3 linked regions of the Arabidopsis thaliana genome follow. The protein of the gene in region 1 interacts with the protein of each later gene in a pairwise test. Each region holds a gene or a part of one and is shown in the gene's direction. Other genes may lie near its edges.

Evidence for each region. Proteins that work in one complex are often made in the same cells at the same time.
Region 2: the proteins of FRK1 (region 1) and AT5G47530 interact in a protein complementation assay, tested with the Arabidopsis thaliana proteins (one large-scale study listed by BioGRID).
Region 3: the proteins of FRK1 (region 1) and AT5G07340 interact in a protein complementation assay, tested with the Arabidopsis thaliana proteins (one large-scale study listed by BioGRID).

Annotation. Positions count from the first base shown.
Region 1 is NC_003071.7:8,324,095-8,333,338, reverse strand, and holds FRK1 (FLG22-induced receptor-like kinase 1), read left to right. Parts: upstream 1-3,394; 5' UTR 3,395-3,445; coding exon 3,446-3,530; intron 3,531-3,724; coding exon 3,725-4,271; intron 4,272-4,350; coding exon 4,351-4,832; intron 4,833-4,916; coding exon 4,917-5,058; intron 5,059-5,168; coding exon 5,169-5,240; intron 5,241-5,323; coding exon 5,324-5,395; intron 5,396-5,488; coding exon 5,489-5,569; intron 5,570-5,704; coding exon 5,705-5,865; intron 5,866-5,925; coding exon 5,926-6,134; intron 6,135-6,216; coding exon 6,217-6,343; intron 6,344-6,430; coding exon 6,431-6,493; intron 6,494-6,591; coding exon 6,592-6,781; intron 6,782-6,872; coding exon 6,873-7,272; 3' UTR 7,273-7,290; downstream 7,291-9,244. Other genes in the region: AT2G19180 (uncharacterized protein), read right to left, coding at 7,764-7,897, 8,192-8,597. UniProt on the Arabidopsis thaliana protein: Involved in innate immune response of plants.
Region 2 is NC_003076.8:19,277,932-19,283,561, forward strand, and holds AT5G47530 (Auxin-responsive family protein), read left to right. Parts: upstream 1-3,442; 5' UTR 3,443-3,539; coding exon 3,540-4,166; intron 4,167-4,295; coding exon 4,296-4,550; intron 4,551-4,633; coding exon 4,634-4,939; 3' UTR 4,940-5,130; downstream 5,131-5,630. Other genes in the region: RABA5a (RAB GTPase homolog A5A), read right to left, coding at 96-435; AT5G47540 (Mo25 family protein), read right to left, coding at 5,334-5,410, 5,504-5,606. UniProt on the Arabidopsis thaliana protein: May act as a catecholamine-responsive trans-membrane electron transporter.
Region 3 is NC_003076.8:2,314,046-2,320,149, forward strand, and holds AT5G07340 (Calreticulin family protein), read left to right. Parts: upstream 1-3,167; 5' UTR 3,168-3,254; coding exon 3,255-3,365; intron 3,366-3,428; coding exon 3,429-3,498; intron 3,499-3,730; coding exon 3,731-4,866; intron 4,867-4,944; coding exon 4,945-5,016; intron 5,017-5,096; coding exon 5,097-5,207; intron 5,208-5,290; coding exon 5,291-5,413; 3' UTR 5,414-5,604; downstream 5,605-6,104. Other genes in the region: AT5G07330 (NFU1 iron-sulfur cluster protein), read left to right, coding at 2,019-2,036, 2,117-2,596; Tudor1 (TUDOR-SN protein 1), read right to left, coding at 5,976-5,998, 6,077-6,104. UniProt on the Arabidopsis thaliana protein: Calcium-binding protein that interacts with newly synthesized monoglucosylated glycoproteins in the endoplasmic reticulum. It may act in assisting protein assembly and/or in the retention within the ER of unassembled protein subunits.

The DNA of each region.
Region 1 (9,244 bases):
CACTGCTTTTCCAAACCACGCGATTTATTTTAATATCTTCAAGTCTAAACAAACGCTTAACCACCTCCACCTTCTCTCGGGAAGCGAGTTTCTTAATTTTCTTCTTACTTTCCTTCTCCATCTTCTCTTCCGAACTTAGGGGCTGATTGTGCGGATGACTTTTGGCGAAAATGTACGGACAACCACGGAAGTTATTAGCTTAAATATTCGGAAGCGATTTAAAAAAAAAAAACAATTAGGTACGATATATACAAAACAGTTCTTCAGTATTTTCATATCCTCGGACCCGGGAATCTTACGCTCAACCTTATCCCTTTTCATCTTCTCTTCGGAAGCGAGTGGATCATGGGCGCGATTTAGGGTTTCTCCACTTCACGCAATTTATATACCTCACTTCTTGGATATTTAGAAATAAGAAATTACATAAATTGGTCATATATGTAATTTCAAGTCTTAATATCGTTTTTTAAAAAAATTTGAAATTACATTTACAAATCGAAAAGTGTTAAAAAAAACTTAAAGATACCAATTTGACCTAACTTTTTTTTTTTTTTGGACCTAACTTTTAAATTAGAGAATTGGAGACAATGAGAAATCGCTGTCGAACATACATTGTCGCAAAACTCCGCCGTCATTGTTCCCCGAATCCCTGACAGTGAACTTCATTGTTCAAGCGAGGTGAGTTTCCTATTTTTCTTCTTCTCCTTTCAATTAAAATTTCAGGGTTTATGATCTCTAGGGTTTAGGTTTTATTTTCTTAAACTAAACCCTAAATTCTTTTTCTTCTTCTTTTTCTTGTAATTTCCAGATGCACTGCGAACGCTAGAGGAGGTGCGATATCGAAGAGGAAGCGTTATACAGGATCATGGGACCAAAATATATCGTATAGATTCGGTTCTTGTTCTTCTATACCTTATGAGAGTAGAAGTTTTTCTCTTCAAGAGAAAAAAAAAAAAAAGAAAAAAAAAAAAGAAGAGTAGAAATTTCTCTGTGTTTTTTTTTACCAACAAGACACAAATGAAACTGGTCCAAAAGGAGTGTGTATAATCTCTGTGGAGACATAACTAATACGTTGATGAATTTCAAGAATACTTGGATTATATAGATTAACCCTGACTCCCTTAGATAGAGATCGAAATCGGGTGGTGATTTCTGAGACCATACAAGTTCTGATCAGATTACTACTAAGTAAATCTTAATTATTAGACTGTTTTTAATGGATTTTTCTGCTCTAATGATAACGTAATGAGATTTTTTTTTTTTTTTTGTATGTTTGGCTTGCAGACCCGGGTAATGAGAAGTTTGGTAAGAGCAAAAGGCACTAATCTCACGTAAGAAAACACTTTTTTCATCAACCATGTATATAATCATGTCGGTTTACATAAACCGTATCGTCTATTCAAGAATTTAGTTTTGTATAATTATAATATTTTTTTCAGACTACTTTTCAATTAAGCATCTTTTTCTTGGATTTTTTTTTCACAAAGGGAGAGCTTTAACTTTTTGCATTAACTTATATATTTTAAATTATACATGCATGCATACCGACTTATATAAATCATATGGTCAATATGAGACTTTTGATTTATATTATTTGTCAACTAAGCATCTTTTCAGATGAGGTTCATGCACCTTTGTTAGAATTATCGGACCAGAAGATCACATCAACGTTTACCAAATCAACAAAAAAATCCAATCCGTCCAAAAAATTTGGAAACTGTTTGAAAGATTCGAAATGTTGGAGCAAGGATACTCAGTTCCAATCTCTGAGCAGAATCTGATATGACTCATCTACTCATAAGACTTTGCGAGATAGACCGGTACAAAACCGTTTCCAAGGGTTCATAATATATGGATTAATGTGAGTTATTGTGGACGTTGTGGTTGTAGAAGCCGCGGTAGTCGTGGAAACACTAATTAGTTATCTCCTGTAAGCTATTTTTATTTTTTTTCCTCACTTCCTCTTCCTCGCAGCTATGTATAATTTTGGTTGGTTATCTCCAAAACTTTTTATGGTCAAACAATTTTGAGAAAGTAATTTGGAAAGAAAAAAGGTTTAAGAATATCTTTTTATCGTCAAGTCCTCCTCCAAATTACTTCCTTAAAACTGTTTGACCATAAAAAGTCATAGCAAGGTATTAGTTATTCTAATTTAAATTAAACGCCTTTTTATCAACAACAAAAAAAAGAAGAAGATTTGATATGTTGAAAAGTATTAGGGACGCTTATTAGGGCAGTATTCCTAGTTATTGCATTTTCTTTCGGTCATTCGACCTTAGGATCATACCTCAATCTGTATGACTGTATTCGCCATGTGAATTCCAATATTACATAGTGACCAAATTTGATATCCAACTAAAAGTCGATCTTTGATCTAAACGAAATGACAACTATTTGGTTAGTGATTGCAGGTTGGAAAGATTTACCTTCTAGACCTGTCTTACGAAGCTAGTATTCTAAAGTAATCTTCATAAACCGAATTCAGAAACAAAAAAAGAAAAGGAGTCCAAAATTGTATGATCATACATTAATATCAGAATAGTCTCTTTTGTTAAATAAATATCTGAAGAATATATATCTCTTTGATTATTTTGTGGATGGCAATGAAACTAAGAATATATATTCATTGACTTAGAAGTCGACAAAAAAAAATAAAAAAATTATTGACTTAATTACTAGTTGACCAATATATATATTATTAAAAGAACATATTGTATCGTTGAAAGCGGATCATCGGGTTTTAAAAGAAAAACACATCGTTGAAACTTGAAAGTGATGACTAATAAAAAGATCTAAACGTGTCCGGTCACCTACCAATGTGGTTTTGCAAATTATTGTCAAGTACCTTGACTATATTAAATAAAAAAATTCACCGTAACACATTGATATTCAACTGATTCCTAAAAAAATATACAAACTATTGGGAGTTGTGAGATTTTTTATATCAGTGTTGGTCTCTTTACATTTGTGATGTGGTGTTATAGCATATATAGTAATAAACTCAAAAGGAAATTAGATGTGTTTTGACCATTTATTAAAATGAACCTTTTCTTGTCAAACATTTGAAAAATACTAGTTTTTTTTTTTGGCAACGTTGTAAATAATAGTTAAAAATAGATTTTAAGTCTCGTTTTTTTATGCATATAGTTTCATTCGCTTTATTAGACTCAAATATACTTTTAATTAAATTTTGCAGAGAATTAAAGGTAATCATTTGCCAAGGAAAAACCATGCAAATATGCAATAAGTAGAAATAATGTTAATGAGAGTAAGCGTTGACATATATTACGTCCTGGTCCGAACATTCTTAAAGTTGCGTAACACTAATAACCTTAGAAGATGGTTGGTTGACTATCAACATCTTATTGACCAAATGTTTTTTTTTTTTTAATTATAAAACAGTTGCTCATTGCTCTAGCCCAGAGAAAGCAGCTCAATTAAGTAAATGGCGATGTTAAAATCTCTTTCATCGATTTTATTCACAAGCTTTGCTCTTCTGTTCTTTCTTGTTCATGCTCAAGATCAATCTGGTAATTTAAAACAGTCTTGGCTTTGTTTAATATTCAGATGCTAAAATACGTTTTTACATCAAGTGCATCGTTTAGTTAAGAATTTGCATACAATTTTCCCAGAAAACTACTCTCCCTTAGTATTTATCTTGAAGCAAACCAAGCTTCCATACATCAATCGTATCTTCTTTTCTCTCATTCTCTGAGTGTTACAGGTTTCATAAGTATAGATTGCGGGATACCGGATGATTCTAGCTACAACGATGAGACTACAGGTATAAAGTATGTTTCGGATTCGGCGTTTGTTGATTCAGGAACAACAAAGAGAATTGCAGCTCAGTTTCAATCAAGTGGTTTTGATAGACACTTGTTGAACGTGAGAAGTTTCCCTCAAAGCAAGAGAAGCTGTTACGATGTTCCGACGCCGAGAGGCAAAGGTTTTAAGTATCTAATCAGAACTCGTTTCATGTACGGGAACTATGATGATCTTGGAAGAGTACCCGAGTTCGATCTCTATCTAGGAGTAAACTTTTGGGACTCTGTTAAACTCGACGATGCAACAACTATACTCAACAAAGAGATAATCACCATTCCACTTTTAGACAATGTTCAAGTGTGTGTTGTTGATAAGAACGCAGGAACTCCATTTTTGTCTGTCTTGGAGATACGGCTCTTGTTGAACACTACTTATGAGACTCCTTACGATGCACTTACCCTCCTTCGGAGATTAGATTACAGCAAAACGGGAAAACTTCCATCGAGGTGAGCCTTAACAAGAAACTTTGATTATTTTACAAGGAAACTTTTTTGTTTTTGCAGTTTCTCATACACATTTGTGTAGGTACAAAGATGACATATATGACCGTATATGGACACCGCGTATAGTGAGTTCAGAATACAAGATATTAAATACATCTCTCACTGTCGATCAATTTCTTAACAATGGCTACCAACCGGCTTCTACTGTCATGAGCACTGCAGAAACAGCGCGAAACGAGAGCCTCTACCTAACGCTTAGTTTCAGACCGCCCGACCCTAACGCAAAGTTTTATGTATACATGCACTTTGCTGAAATTGAAGTACTGAAAAGCAACCAGACGAGAGAATTCAGCATCTGGCTAAATGAGGATGTAATCTCTCCTTCGTTTAAGCTTCGGTACTTGCTTACCGACACATTCGTTACACCGGATCCCGTGAGCGGAATTACCATTAACTTCTCTCTTCTTCAACCACCTGGTGAATTTGTACTTCCACCGATCATTAACGCCCTTGAGGTCTATCAAGTCAATGAGTTCCTTCAGATCCCAACTCATCCACAGGATGGTAATTAAGGCTTTTTTTATATGGTACAAACTTCCTCCGAAGTTTTTTTCGGTTATGTCTGATTTCGTTTATATGCTCTTATAGTTGATGCCATGAGGAAGATTAAAGCCACGTATAGAGTGAAGAAGAACTGGCAAGGAGATCCTTGTGTTCCCGTAGATTATTCTTGGGAAGGTATTGACTGTATCCAAAGTGATAACACTACTAATCCTAGAGTCGTTTCACTGTAAGTTAGTGTTTAAATTTATAGATATCTGTTCTGTTTTACTCTGCTTTGTTCTGTTGTGCTCTGTTTTGCTCTGTTTTTGTTTTGTCCTAAACATCTCTATTTGGCAGAAATATATCTTTTAGTGAATTAAGAGGCCAGATAGATCCAGCCTTCTCCAACCTTACATCTATAAGAAAATTGTCGGTATTTTTTTTCATGTAATAATCACTGACACTCTGTGATACACAGAGTTCCTTACTAACACAATCATTTTTCATTACAGAGATTTATCCGGTAATACTTTAACAGGAGAAATACCTGCTTTCCTCGCTAACTTACCAAACTTGACCGAATTGTGAGTCATATCAACTAGAGCAAATATTTCACTTGATCAGTGAAGCAAAAGATATCTTTGAATTTACGAGTTGATGTGGATTCGTATATGCAGAAACGTTGAAGGAAACAAGTTAACGGGCATAGTTCCACAAAGATTGCATGAAAGATCAAAGAATGGATCTCTTTCCTTAAGGTTTGCGACTCGTAAAAGCTACCTTTTATTAATTTTAGTTTAGTTCTTCCTCTTTGAATGTGATTTAGAACCGATAATTCCGCAATGCGCTTTGACAAGATTCATTCCTAACATGTCTACATTGTAACTTTATAGATTTGGTAGAAATCCGGACCTTTGTCTCTCTGATTCCTGTTCAAACACAAAGAAGAAGAACAAGAATGGATACATCATTCCATTAGTAGTCGTAGGAATCATCGTCGTTCTTTTGACGGCTTTAGCTTTGTTCCGGCGTTTCAAGAAAAAACAACAAAGAGGTATGATACTAAAAACAAATTTCTGCCAATAAAGAAAGTAACTAAACGAGGTTCTTATAGGTACACTTGGTGAGAGGAATGGGCCGTTGAAAACTGCAAAGCGATACTTTAAGTACTCAGAAGTTGTGAATATCACAAATAACTTTGAGAGAGTTATTGGCAAAGGAGGTTTTGGTAAAGTATACCATGGTGTCATAAATGGAGAACAAGTTGCTGTCAAGGTACTCTCTGAAGAATCAGCTCAAGGCTACAAAGAGTTTCGAGCAGAGGTTTTTTTTGCGTACCTTTCAAGGACTTAATCTTAATTTATCTCAAACTTTTTCACCTAACTAATCTAGTTGAGAATCGCAGGTTGACCTTCTCATGAGAGTTCATCACACGAACCTGACTTCTCTTGTTGGATATTGCAACGAAATAAACCACATGGTGCTTATCTATGAGTATATGGCTAATGAGAACTTAGGAGACTATTTGGCAGGTTAATTAATGATTCTTCTTTTGTTCACTAATCTTATGTTCATAATGTACTGAGAAAGGAACTTTGGTTTTGTTTCATTTTGTGAAGGTAAAAGGTCATTTATCTTGAGCTGGGAAGAGAGGTTGAAGATATCATTAGATGCAGCGCAAGGTTCGGGAAGTCCCATCTTGAAATTACATTTAACTAAATCTAACATGCGAAAATCAATCAATGAAGTGTGTGTTTTCTTGTCTATAAAACAAATTCAGGACTAGAGTATCTTCACAATGGTTGTAAGCCTCCTATAGTTCACAGAGATGTGAAGCCAACAAACATCTTACTAAACGAGAAGCTCCAAGCGAAGATGGCGGACTTCGGGTTATCTAGAAGCTTCTCTGTTGAAGGAAGCGGTCAGATTTCAACAGTTGTCGCTGGATCCATCGGTTACCTTGACCCCGAGTAAGTAATAAAAACCTTCTTAATTACTATTTCTCCAAACTAAAGAATACAAATGTTTCATCTAGGGTGACACATATTATTGAAACTACAGGTACTATTCGACTCGCCAAATGAACGAAAAGAGTGATGTTTATAGTCTTGGGGTTGTTCTTCTTGAAGTGATTACAGGCCAACCTGCTATTGCAAGCTCAAAAACAGAGAAGGTGCATATAAGTGATCATGTCAGGTCAATATTAGCCAACGGAGACATTAGAGGAATCGTGGATCAGCGTCTAAGAGAGAGATATGACGTTGGCTCGGCTTGGAAAATGTCAGAGATCGCTCTTGCTTGTACCGAGCACACTTCTGCGCAGAGGCCAACGATGAGTCAGGTCGTTATGGAGCTGAAACAGATTGTTTATGGCATAGTGACTGATCAGGAAAACTACGATGACTCGACGAAAATGCTTACAGTGAATCTAGACACCGAGATGGTTCCTCGAGCAAGGTAGTGAATTTCTTCAGAGTAGAAAAAGAAGAATAAATTTGTATTCAATTTGCTTTTGTGTCTCAATAAATACATTAATCTTACTTGCAAATGGTTGCTGAATAATATGTATGCCAAGACATTATTTATATGCACTTAGGTCAAGTGTCAAAGGGAAGAATTGTCATTATAAATGAAATTGTCAAGTTACCCGAGCATCACCATAAACTCTGGCAAGTGGAAGAAGCCCCCAAGCTAATTATATTAAGTCAATTATAAAACATAGTAAACAAGGTGTATAAAGTCACCCAAAGATCATATAACTCCCATGGTTTTCAACTGTATGTACAAACTGCTTGAGTTTCGATCGTCATCTGTTTTTTCCAATCCTGTCCTGTACATCCAAGGTATTTGTCAGGAACACATTTCATTGCTACTTCAAATCTATAATCAACTTGTAAAAAAATTTCTTTACATTGTCATTACCTGCTCTCTCGTGCTGGAAAAGGTATCGAATCACTCTTCACCATCTTCAGGTTTAAAAGAGTAAATAGGATCTGGATAATGTGCTAGCTTCACTTCCAACATCTCATTCCCCGGGATTTTCAACTCCACGCTAGCTTCTTCCTCTTGTGTAGATGAGGAACCATCTTAACATTTTCATAGACATACACAAACATATCACCACAGATATCAGCAAATAACCCTAACAACGACTCAACCATATCTTTCGAAAACGAGACACAAACATCAAAACAAATCAGCTCTAGTATTGCTCTAAATGTTCATGTAGATAATAATGTTCAAATATTCTCTTCCCTAAGTAACCCAACAAAATCTCAACTTTGTCTCATGAATTGGGTTTAACATTGAGGAAAATCTCAAAAGGAATCTTTTTTAACAAGCAGAACCAAAAAACAAGTAAGACCCATCAGAGCAATTACCTGGAGGAGGAATGAAGAAAGAGGAACAAGGCCAACCATAAGGAGACGAAAGCGAAAGAGACTCTTCCTCCGTCAACGGATTAGTCACCTTATCGACCAAATTGGCGATCTTTGTAGCCGTAATCTGATGAGGAGGTACCCAAAAGGAAGAGCCAGGTGCAAAAGGAAGCCAATCTGGAGTCGAATTATGAACGATGATCCTTCGTACGAATTCGTTTAGCTTTTTGAGAATTGCTGCTTCCGCTTCGTTTTTAGAATCGATTTCAAGCTCGATGACTTGTGGGATGGATGAAAAGCGGCGGCTGAAACAGACGACGTTTGGTGGTGTCGTAATCGCCGGCTCGTTGAAACGACGGAGGAGGAATCTTCCGTTGGGAATTAGGGTTTTTGAGAGCAATCGAGACATTTTTAGGAGAGAGAGTCAAGAAAGAGAAAGTTTGAGATTTTTTTTACATTTATAAACGATGACAGAGTTCGTGAAACTGAAACGGGTACAAATTGGGATCCGAATCCCTGAGATCCGATCCAATTATAGAAAATTAATAGAAAAACAAATAACCTTTTTTTCTTGGTCAATTTTTTTTTTTCTTTGGTCAATTTTTTTTCTTTTTTGATGGTAAATTTATTTCTTTTTTGATGGTAAATTTATTGATAAGAAAAAAGTATATTTGAAAAATTGAAATAACTTAAAACATGAAATTAGCATCATATCCGCAAGACTAACCATTTGACAGGATAAGACAAAGTTTTGGTGAATCTTGTACATGTTAGAACTCATTCAGTTGTGGATTTTCTAAATAAAACAGCAAGTCCAATTTCTAAATTTTAAAATTAACTTCAATCAATTATTAATGTTTGAGCAAACCCAAATATATATATATATAAAAAAGGAAAAAAAATCTAACAAAAGACGAGTGGATTGGGCTTGAAATGGGCACCGATTGATCTAATCCGGTGGCCCTAAAGTATAAGTGATGAATAGTATTCTTGGTAGATGCAAATTGCAGGATTCGCTGACCCAATAATATTTGCTGTCTTATTTTCCAAATGTAT
Region 2 (5,630 bases), on another chromosome or scaffold:
TTTATGAAGACACCCCTCACTTTCATTATTCTTGAATCAATTAGCAAATGGGAGATTGTTTAGTAGCAGATAAGAAAAGATAAGAGGTTTCTTACTGTGTAGCTCGTTGAGCCATCTACCAATGCTGTGAAAAGTCTGCCGTCTGCTGATATCGTAAACCAGAAGAGCTCCAACTGCACCTCGGTAATATGCAGAAGTGACTGCTCTAAAACGTTCTTGACCTGCTGTGTCCCATATCTGTGCTTTGATCTCCTTCCCGTTTATATCCATCTTCTGTGTCTGAAACTCCACTCCAATCGTCGACTTTGAATTGGGATAGAACTCATCCCTCGCAAATCTGGCAAGTAAATTTGATTTCCCGACAGCAGAATCACCGATTAGAACAATCTTAAAGAGGTAGTCTTCGCTCTTGTCGTCTTCAGAGTAGAAAGCCATGTCCTTTAATGCTCAAGATTAACCCTTCTACAGAAGCATATCTTTACCACTGGCTTGAAGCCCGTCAACAAAGCTAAGGACAAAACAAAGAGCCAAAGTGAGGAAGAGGGAAGACAAGAATAAGTAGAGTTGGCATAGGAAACTTGAGAAACAGTAAAGATTGAGATCTAAGAGAAACAAGAGAATCTTTAAGATCACCTGTCTACTTGAGGTAGCTTCCTAGAAGGTTCAGTGGAACAAAGTTGACTAAATATCAAAACTTTCAGCTCTCAACCACCCTAAGAAAATCTATCACAAGCAAAGTATTCAGCACATAAACGCATTCTGGATCCAAAGTAAGACAGCAATACAAGTTACCTCTTCTGAAAGCTTGATCTGGCTCTTTAACACCTCCTAGAGAAACTTGTTATACAAGCTCATGAAGCCTATATACAACAAGTAAAGCTAACTTTAGTTATAATCTCACCCTAAGAATCTAAGTTAAAGTCGGTAGATACTGACTATTCACAAATCATGAAAGCCACCAATAGGAAAGCAGAGAAATATTCTCTCTATCATAAGGAGAAACAGAATTGAGACAGAAAAGACAAGCGCGGGCCCAATTCAACCAACAATACTCATTCACTTGATCACACAAAGTGCAATCTTAAACACTGATAGAAAATTCTCAGTCTTGTCCTTAGGGCTCACATTAAAGATGAATCGAGTTAATGATTGCTGCAGGTTTATAATATCTGCCTGAATATGAAAATCTTCATATACGGCATTAGAAAATGAAAGTAGGCCACACATTTCTTTCTGAAAAAGATGATGAGACATCAAAACTTATAAAACACCAATTCAAAAAAATAATCGAAACTTCACCTAAGAAACTAAACCCAAGTAAGAACCCATTTTCGCAAAAGAGAAGGAGGAGATATTGTAAGAACTCTTTAAAGCAAAAACAGAGCATTGTAATAGAAACAATCAAACCAAGTAAAAACAGAATTTTACATGAGAGATCATCACATTACATTCCCGTCAGATGTAAGATCACACACATACATACACACACAAGACAGAGAAAACGTTGATGATCACGAATTATGAAGACCCATTAGACAAAACAGGACAAAAAACTCGCATTTACAGGGATAATCATAAGGGGAAAATTGAGAAAAACCTTCTCTTTATTCTCGGGAAGTGCAGAGGAAAACAAAATTACCTTGTGGAAGCAACACCGATTAAAGAAATTGGGGAACATGGGAATGGAATGGATCCAAAGAGAAGAAAACGAAACAAGAGATCCCAAAAATGGAATCGGAAAACGAAAGGATTCAACGCCTTCTTCTGGGAAATCAAAGACACGCAGTAACTCTGGCAGAGAGAGAGAGAAAGAAAGAGACCGGAGTTTTTCCATTTCGGTTCGGATTGGTAATAATGGGCTCAGCAAAAATAAAACATCTTGGGCCCTTATGGACCCTCTTACCCTATTTTACCATAGGCTCTACTTTTTTTTACCACCTTTGTTTTAGTTTCACTTAAAATTTTAGTTAAGGAAAAAAAAGTTACCGATTATGTACACTCTACTGTTATTTATTAGACACAACAAAACTTTCAAATATGATGGATTTTCCATCCTATTTTATTTATAAAAGAAAATATTTATATTTCTAACATCAACAAACTCTACCCAAATCAGATTATCCTTCTGAAACTATGCAATTTGTATTGTTTTTCAGGAAACTAGTGATTTTTTGAATAATTGTAATACTTTTCATTCATCAAAAAAACATATTATATCTTTCCTTTTTTTCCATCAAAAACATATTATATCTAAATATCTCATTTTGGGTTGTTTTTTGATAATTAACACTTAAGCCCATATAAAAGAGTCTAGTTCAAACTGAGCCCAGCTACACCAAAGAATCTAGTGGGGGACATGTGGCAGGTAGTAATTTGAGCGTTGACCAAGAAAGGACATTATTATACATCCACCTGGTTAGAGCATGCTTATAGGTGATATTCTCAAAGTATCATTAAAAAAATTTTAGTATTATTTATAATGTTTGTTTAATAGATAAATATTTTTTTTCTTACTTTTAATAAATGCTACCAATCAGGAGATGTCACGTAGATGATACTGATATCAAGAAAATCACTGGAATGATACTAATCAAACTCATTCTAATTGTTTGGTTAATAAAAAAATAATTTTTACACTGATGATATTCTAAAAATATCACTCATGTACATGGTCTTAACCGTTGAAATGTTGGTCGCGGCCTATATATAGAAGAACATAACTCTAAAAATAGCTAAACCCAACCACTTCCCTTGGATTGGAATCTCTCATAAACAGTTTGTTGGTCTGGTCCGCTCCAGTCCATACTCATAAGGTGGTAGATGTTTACTTAGGGTACATCATACATGCACAACGTTAGTAGTTGCAGGCATAGACGTGTTTGCCCTTTATTACGCGAAAACCACTACTCCCTTCGCTAGTCTACTTTCGTCAATTGAACCACTAAACCCAATGAAACCTAATATTTTAGTGTGCTCAATAATTTATCATCATCCCAATTCCCAAGCGTACCAAGATTATAATCTAACTTAACGCGCAATGTCATGACAAAACCTATATACAATGAAAAAGATTTTTCATGACAAACAAAGAAAAAATAAACACGAGAAATGAGTTCTCGTAATAAAGTTGGTGTGAACTGGTTTTTGAACGTGAAGATGACCCCTTCATATTTTTATTTCTTGGTTTTTGCTTGAGAGGGTTAAAGACTCTTAAGGAAGAAATACATTACACGTCAAACCTTTTTGGGAAAACAATGAACGCTTCATTTATAATGTTTCTATTTTTTACTCTTAGGTAAAACATTGCAATTGATAGATGAACAAGAACAAAAGCAGAGGATTAAAAGAAAGATTAAACTATGAAAAAAGGACACGTGTGAAGAGAATTAGAGATTCTGTATTAAGACAGATTAACTAACAAACCAAACCCTACTTGTTCCACTTTCTATTCATACTTAATCTCATTCTCCTCTCTTCCCCTTCATACTTAAATCTTATCATTCATCCATCTTTTAATCATTACTCGAGATTCTGTTTCCATGGCCATATCCTCAAATCTTCTCCTTTGTCTCTCTCTTTTCATTTTCATCATCACCAAATCCGCCTTGGCTCAGAAATGTTCCAACTACAAATTCTCCACCAACCGTCTCTTTGAGTCTTGCAACGACCTACCTGTTCTTGATTCCTTCCTCCACTACACTTACGATTCTTCTTCAGGCAATCTCCAAATCGCGTATCGCCACACAAAGCTCACCCCCGGGAAATGGGTGGCATGGGCCGTGAATCCCACATCTACTGGCATGGTCGGAGCTCAAGCCATTGTGGCTTATCCACAATCAGACGGCACCGTTAGGGCTTATACGTCACCCATCAGTAGCTACCAAACGAGTCTCCTAGAAGCTGAGCTGAGTTTCAACGTCTCTCAGTTGTCTGCCACTTACCAAAACAACGAGATGGTCATCTACGCAATTCTGAATCTTCCACTTGCGAATGGTGGAATCATTAACACTGTGTGGCAAGATGGGTCACTGTCAGGGAACAATCCTCTGCCTCATCCAACTTCTGGCAACAATGTTCGTTCTGTTTCTACTCTTAACCTTGTCTCTGGTGCATCTGGATCCACCTCTACCGGAGCAGGAGGAGCTTCCAAGCTACGCAAACGCAACGTGAGTCCATGGTTTTATCAATTTCTTCATTTCATGTTTTTTAGGAATCTCACATATGAAATGAGATTTATCAATCCCATCATTGTTAGTTGGTTTTATGAAACTTATCACTCCTAATCATTATTGCAGATACATGGAATATTGAACGGTGTGAGCTGGGGTATAATGATGCCAATAGGAGCAATCATTGCTCGCTACTTGAAAGTCTCAAAATCAGCAGATCCTGCTTGGTTCTACCTTCATGTTTTCTGCCAGTCTTCTGCTTACATCATTGGTGTTGCCGGTTGGGCGACCGGTCTCAAACTGGGCAACGAATCAGCCGGGATTCAGTTTACCTTTCACCGTGCTGTTGGGATCGCTCTCTTCTGCCTCGCAACAATTCAGGTAGGTTTTAGTTAACAGTACAGAGAGTATTACACTTGTCATGAATATGTTGCAATTACTAAGTTGCTTGTTTCACACGTTAGGTGTTTGCAATGTTTTTGAGACCCAAACCAGAGCACAAGTACAGAGTCTACTGGAACATTTATCACCACACTGTAGGCTATTCAGTGATCATTCTTGCGGTGGTAAACGTTTTTAAAGGACTAGACATCCTGAGCCCTGAGAAGCAGTGGAGAAACGCTTACACCGCCATAATCGTAGTACTAGGTATAGTCGCGGTTGTGCTCGAAGGGTTTACTTGGTATGTAGTCATAAAGAGAGGGAAAGCAGAGGCATCTGCGAAAACAAGTCAACGAGTAGGCAACGATGGTCGGTCTCTATACGTGTAGACTCTGTAAAGATTAGAGTAAAATGTTCTGGTTTATTTGGTCATTATGGGCTTGTGGTTGTTAATTTTTGTTTGTTTTCGAGATTAAGTTAATACATTTGATGTTTAATAGTTGTTGAAGTTGAAAGACTCTTGTGCTCTTTTACAACATTCATGATGTGAGCTTTTGACAAACCATTTTATTTCATCGACAGTGAAGTAGTGTACATATGAATACATATATCGAATAGATATCTCGTATGTGTATGTGTGTGTGTGTGTGTGTGTGTGTGTGTGTGTGTGGTGAGAAAGTGAGAGGAAGATTGGTTACCTAATGTAAAAAAACAACAAGATGCTTCAAAAATGTCTTTTCGAGTGTTTTAAAAGGGAAGGAAGGATGAATTGCATTAGTTGGTTCAAGCAAGATCTCGAGGTTCAAGGGCTGCGATTTCTCTCAAAACCTGACTTTTGTCTGCTTCAAACCTCTCATCCTCTGTCAACCAAATGAACCAAACAATGCTTTAATAAGGTTAAGGAGCAGAAGGATCGGATACAAGCGTTTCACTTAACAAGATTAGTTTCATACCTTTGTCTGGTTTCAAATCAGCCAACAATCTCAGAAGCTTGCTTCTGTTGGCCACCAGAATGTTGACTATATCCGCAGGCTTGTTTTGGTTCGCTGCAAACAGCTGCACAACAGTGACGATAATCTC
Region 3 (6,104 bases), on another chromosome or scaffold:
ATGGAATTATTCTTTAATTATTTTTTCGTCGGCATAGTTTTTGCTATATATCTTCCACTTGCTGGAATTATATTAATGTGTTATCTAAAGTTCGCAGCATAAATTATTGTTGTTGTTACTGTTTATCGTTAATACTTTTTCTTGCTTTATTATTAGTAGGGCTACTTTGCTAAATAAAGAAAAAAAAATAGAAGTTTAACTCGTAAAAATGATTAAGTGGTAGTCGTAAATAAGTGATTCATAATGTAAAATTAATATATAGTGTCAAAAAAAAAACATGCTATTTATTTTTGACTTCTGCATGACTATTAGCACACACAAGAATATATATTATATAGAAATGTCGTCATTCCACTAGCTATAATATATACATTTTTGATTTTTTTACTAAATAGATCATATATTTTCGTAAAATACTAATTTTCTAAGGAGCTGATCTAGTTTAGTGGTCATACGAGGACCACTTACCTCATCAGCTCAACCCACTAATATTGAGTTTGTACCAGTTTGACAAAAAAAATACTTAACTTTTCAGAAAATAAAATGGAATTAGTTATTTTCATAATTACATTTTCAGTTAATAAAACTAGGATAACAAAAACTTGAGTTTTCTTTTTCTTCTTCTGAAAGTTATGACCTACGTAGCTAGGTTTTAGTTTACAGTCGTGGTTAACTTAGAGACTCTTTGATCATCAATCAGTTAAGACCAATGCTTCTTTAAGCCATTTAGTTTATTCTTGATGATAAAAGTACGTAACATCATTTTTAAAAAATTGTGGTGAGTGAGTAAAAGTCACGATACAAAGAAAAATATTCATAGTTTGAAAAGAACGTAAAGTAGAGATGAAATGTGAATACGATTATATATATTGTTTACATAGTTAATGTATAGGCCTTTCTTTCTTTATATAGGATTGTAAAGCTCTTTACACCGCTTTATTTATAACAAAAATAGAAATGAGCAAATAATTACGTCGAATAAGCACTAATTCCATTAAAGTGGGAGCTAGTAAGCACCAAGCACACTAGTTCAACTCGTATCAATTTATTGTATTTAAATCAGTAGTTAAAACTTGTTTAATTTCCTCATTGAGAAAGATTTGCCCACTTTAGTTAAGTCTTATCCCAAATAGCACTTTAGTTAAGTCTTTATCCCAAATAACTTGTTTACTTTTACTTTTCTATTAAAATTATGAATAGTACTGAATTCACTATTTAAATAAAGGCACTATGAAATAAAAAGAACTCCATAAAAAATGCATTAATTATTTTATATTTCTTAAATATAGACAAACTTTATAGAATTAATGGCTACAATAAATATTACGTTGAAAATGTCGTTTTAATATTTCTCCATCTTTTTTACATAATATTTATATGAATTTAAATTTGAATGTCGATACAACGATAACACGAAGACGAGAAAATATAACTATTTTCATTAGAATTGACACCAAACATATTTAATCTCTTCATTTTTGTCTTAAAAACAAAAGAACATACTTTCGTGACATAGGTTCATTTAGTACTTGATGGATTTTCGTGCCATTGGTTCATTTACTCGATGCAAGGCACGGTTCCATCGACACAGCAGCAATGTGATTGTCACATGTCGCGTGGTAAGACGAGGGTTGCTAGAGCTTACCAGTAAAAGAAGATACACAAATTTTGGTCTTATCCATTAGGCATACAAATTTAAAATATAATTAATATCTCATATTTTTAATTTTGACAGAACCAATGAAATAAAACACGCGCATTACTGCAGTGAATCCCAATTATAAGGAATCTGATTTGACGTGGATCTTCAAGACACTTCCACGAATTAAACTGCATGTTCTTAAATGCTTACACGTATTACTTCTACAACTCTCTTCTCTACTCCAGATGTCTCCATCTTCCTTTTATATCCGATATCTAAAACGCTCTCAAGTATAGCACAATCCACAACAACAAAAAGTACAAATCTTACTCTTCTTTTCAGCTAGATTTTACTAATCACTCGCCAAGAACAACCAATGGCCGTTCGATCAACCGTAAGTAACCTAAGACGTCGTCGTTTCTCTATGATTCATTTGGTCTTCACGATTTGACTTTTATCATTTTGTGTTTGAAGGGTCACTTGAAAAACGTAGTGCAGAGGTTAAGAACTTACACGAAGGCGACAACCGTACCAAGATCCAAAGCGTATTCTACGGCGGCAACAGAGTATGGTGGCCAGAGAACCGCCACCACAGCGGCAGCAACAAAAGGTGACTTCACACCAGTTTACGTCTCCATAGGATTGATTTCATTGTCAGTAACATTTGGTGTCTACACTGCGTATCTTCATCTACATGAAAACCCTGGCGTACGTGTCAACAAGAAGATGAGAGAGACCGTTCCCGAGATCGAAGATCCAGATAGAGTTCTAAACGAAGCGGACCGGTTCGCTAACAGGTCTTGGTTTAGGAAAATAGCTCACGTTCAAGAGTTTGACAAGCAGGATGTGATCTCTGACCCAATCAGGAAAGACCAGTTTGCTCATAAACCTCGTGCCTTGACGCTTAAGGATGTTGGCGTTGATCCTAAGATATCGGCTGCTGCAGCTCACTAAGTTTTTATGAAGGCTGGTTTATGTGTTTTGTTTTCCATGTTTCTGTCGATAAATAAAACATCTGAAGGAGATCAAAGAGTTTTCAAATGGGTCGGTTAAGGTTTTATCCTGTTTCCTCTTGGATGTATTACAGTGATCAAGCAACTTTTGAGTGTATTTGTGTTGTTTCAACAGCATGTAAATTATCTAATGAAATTTCGGTCGAAGTAATAATACAACTTCGTTTTGCTTCTATTTTCTTCTGGATTAACGATTTTAGTAAAAATACTCATTTGGGAGAAACCAATTTCTTGGGTCTAGGTTTGAATGAGATAAAATGGTTAACTTCCTAACCTTCTAAGAGTGTCCGAGGATTCATTCGCATTCTAATTGGGCCCAGGTCAAGGCCCAGGACCAGGCCCTAGTGGGGTAAAATTTTGCACGCGTCGGTGCTTTGTTTTGGATGACTTGGCGAGAGGTGATAGGGTAGTGTCACGTTGGCGAGCGATATTCATTGGAAGATAACAATCAAAATGACGTTCGTAGGTCTAAGAAATACGAGGACTAAAGAGTAAAGAATATCTCTCTCTCTGATCTACTTAGTACTTACTTAGTAGTTACTTCTCTGTCTTATTTGATTTTGAGTCTCTGTTTTGTCTCTTCTCTTGAGATTGCGATAATGAGAGAACGGATTATTACATTCGTTTCGCTGCTTCTTGTAGCTTTGCTTTCGTTTCCCAGTGTTAGCTACTGTGACGACCAAACGGTGATTGGTCACTTCCTTGAAAAAGTTCCTATTTTAAAGATTTGTTCATCGAATCTCCAGTAACATGGTGTTTTTGTTGTTGTTCAGATCCTGTATGAATCGTTTGACGAGCCTTTTGATGGTCGCTGGGTCGTTTCAGAGAAAGCTGAATACCAAGGTAAAGCCATGTCGTCGTAGTGAATTCGTGTTTTGAATTTTTTGGTTTTCTTTCGTCTGTTGAAGTAAAAACAAGTTAGAATTAGTGTAATGGAAGTTACAATCAAAAGGGGGTCTTAAAGTTTTGGTTTTTATTGGAACAGATTTAGAAATGTTTACTTTTACTATAAGTGGATAAGAAACAGACTTTGTGTGAGCTCTTAAAAGGTTGCTTCTTATTTGAAATCTTTTAGGTGTGTGGAAGCACGAGAAGAGTGAAGGGCATGATGATTATGGACTTCTAGTGAGTGAGAAAGCTAAGAAGTACGGAATAGTTAAAGAGCTTGATGTTGATGAGCCTCTAAACCTTAACGAAGGAACTGTTGTTCTTCAATACGAGGCTCGTTTCCAAGAAGGGCTTGAGTGTGGTGGTGCTTACTTAAAGTATCTTCGTCCTCAAGAAGCTGGATGGGTTCCTCAAGGGTTTGATAATGATTCTCCTTACTCTATCATGTTTGGACCTGATAAGTGTGGTGCTACCAACAAGGTTCATTTCATCTTGAAGCATAAGAATCCCAAGAGTGGCGAGTTTGTTGAGCACCATCTCAAGTTCCCTCCTTCTGTTCCGTTTGACATGCTTTCTCATGTCTACACTGCGGTCTTGAAATCTGATAATGAGGTGAGGATTTTGGTCGATGGTGAGGAGAAGAAGAAGGGTAATTTACTGTCTGCTGAAGACTTTGAGCCTCCGTTGATTCCTTCCAAGACCATCCCTGATCCAGAGGACAAGAAGCCAGAAGACTGGGATGAGAGAGCCAAGATTCCTGATCCTAATGCTGTGAAGCCTGATGACTGGGATGAGGATGCACCCATGGAGATTGAAGATGAGGAAGCTGAGAAACCCGAAGGATGGTTGGATGATGAGCCTGTAGAGGTTGAAGACCCCGAGGCAAGCAAGCCAGAAGATTGGGATGACGAGGAAGATGGTGAGTGGGAGGCTCCTAAGGTTTCCAACACCAAGTGTGAGGCAGCACCCGGATGTGGCGAATGGAAGAGACCGATGAAGAGGAACCCTGCTTACAAGGGCAAATGGAGCTCACCTCTCATAGATAACCCAGCTTACAAGGGAATCTGGAAACCAAGAGACATTCCAAATCCTGATTATTTTGAGCTTGAGAGGCCGAATTTGGAGCCCATTGCTGCCATTGGTATTGAGATATGGACAATGCAAGACGGTATCTTATTTGACAACATCTTGATATCTAAAGACGAGAAGGTTGCTGAAACTTACAGACAAAGCACTTGGAAGCCCAAGTTTGATGTGGAGAAAGAGAAACAAAAGGCAGAGGATGAAGCTGCTGGTGAGGCAGATGGTCTCAAGAGTTACCAGGTATATTGATTTTCGCCACAAATTTGGAATGCTTATACATATCCTTTGTACTTATATTATGTATGTGCATTACTGCAGAAGAAGGTGTTCGACCTCTTGTACAAGGTTGCAGACATTTCTTTCCTTAGTGCGTACAAGTCAAAGATTATGGTAAGTTCTCATTTTCAGACTTTAGAAACATATTGTATAATGAAGAATCTTAAATGAGAATTTGCAATTTTCGTTTGTAGGAACTTATTGAGAAAGCTGAAACACAGCCAAACTTAACCATCGGTGTGCTCATTTCCATCGTGATCGTCTTCCTCTCTCTCTTCTTCAAGCTCATATTTGGTGGTGCAAAGGTAAAAAAAAAACATGTCAGTGAGATGTAATGTTTTGGTTGGCGGGTGTTTGAGTCTTAACGAAATTCTTGGTATGTATGTAGGCTAAGGTAGAAAAGAAGAAACCGGAAACAGCTGCAGAGACCTCGACAAGCGAGGCAAAGACAGAGGAGAAAGCAGAAGCGGTGGCTGCACCACGAAAGAGGCAGACGAGGCGTGAGAGTTAGATAAAAAGAGGATTAGATTTTGATTTTTGGGGCTTTTTGTTTTGATTTATCACCGTATAGACAAACAGTAGTGGACCTGATATTAAGACGATTATTGTAACATGTTTTTTTTGTATGCTTTTAGTTTCACATGAATCTGAATGTGGATCACAACATTTATGAGTTGAAATTTGATAAGTAATGGGTTGTGTACATCACATGCATCAGCATTATCAGTTTATCGTCTTTAGCTCGAGTGTTTACAACAAAATCTTAGCTTCGAGATTTAGACTTCTCTACCAAAGGGTCTTGATAGCCATGGCACGAGACTCGTATGATATACTAACCACAGTTAGGTCTGTTTGCAGAATGGATTCTTTGACAGAGCACGAGCTTCAGCAGCCAGAAGAGCATCATAAAGGTTTGATCGCTCTTCAAAATCTGTGTGTCTAACCACATTTCCAAAACCACGGGCAAGAACGAGCTCAGCACTATTCACCAGCTGGCTGACTGCCAGCAGATGATGCAGTCACTTCATCAGAAAATAAGACCAAAGTTGCTCCAACGACCATATCCTTCCTGCTTAGTCTCTGCTCTTTTTTTGTTCTTTCTAATGTCAGTGTAACATAAATAAGACGGCTTAAGGAATGGAAAGATAAGTTGGACCAGAAAACACACAAAAACTGTAAGCATGGTTCAAACTTCCCCTTAT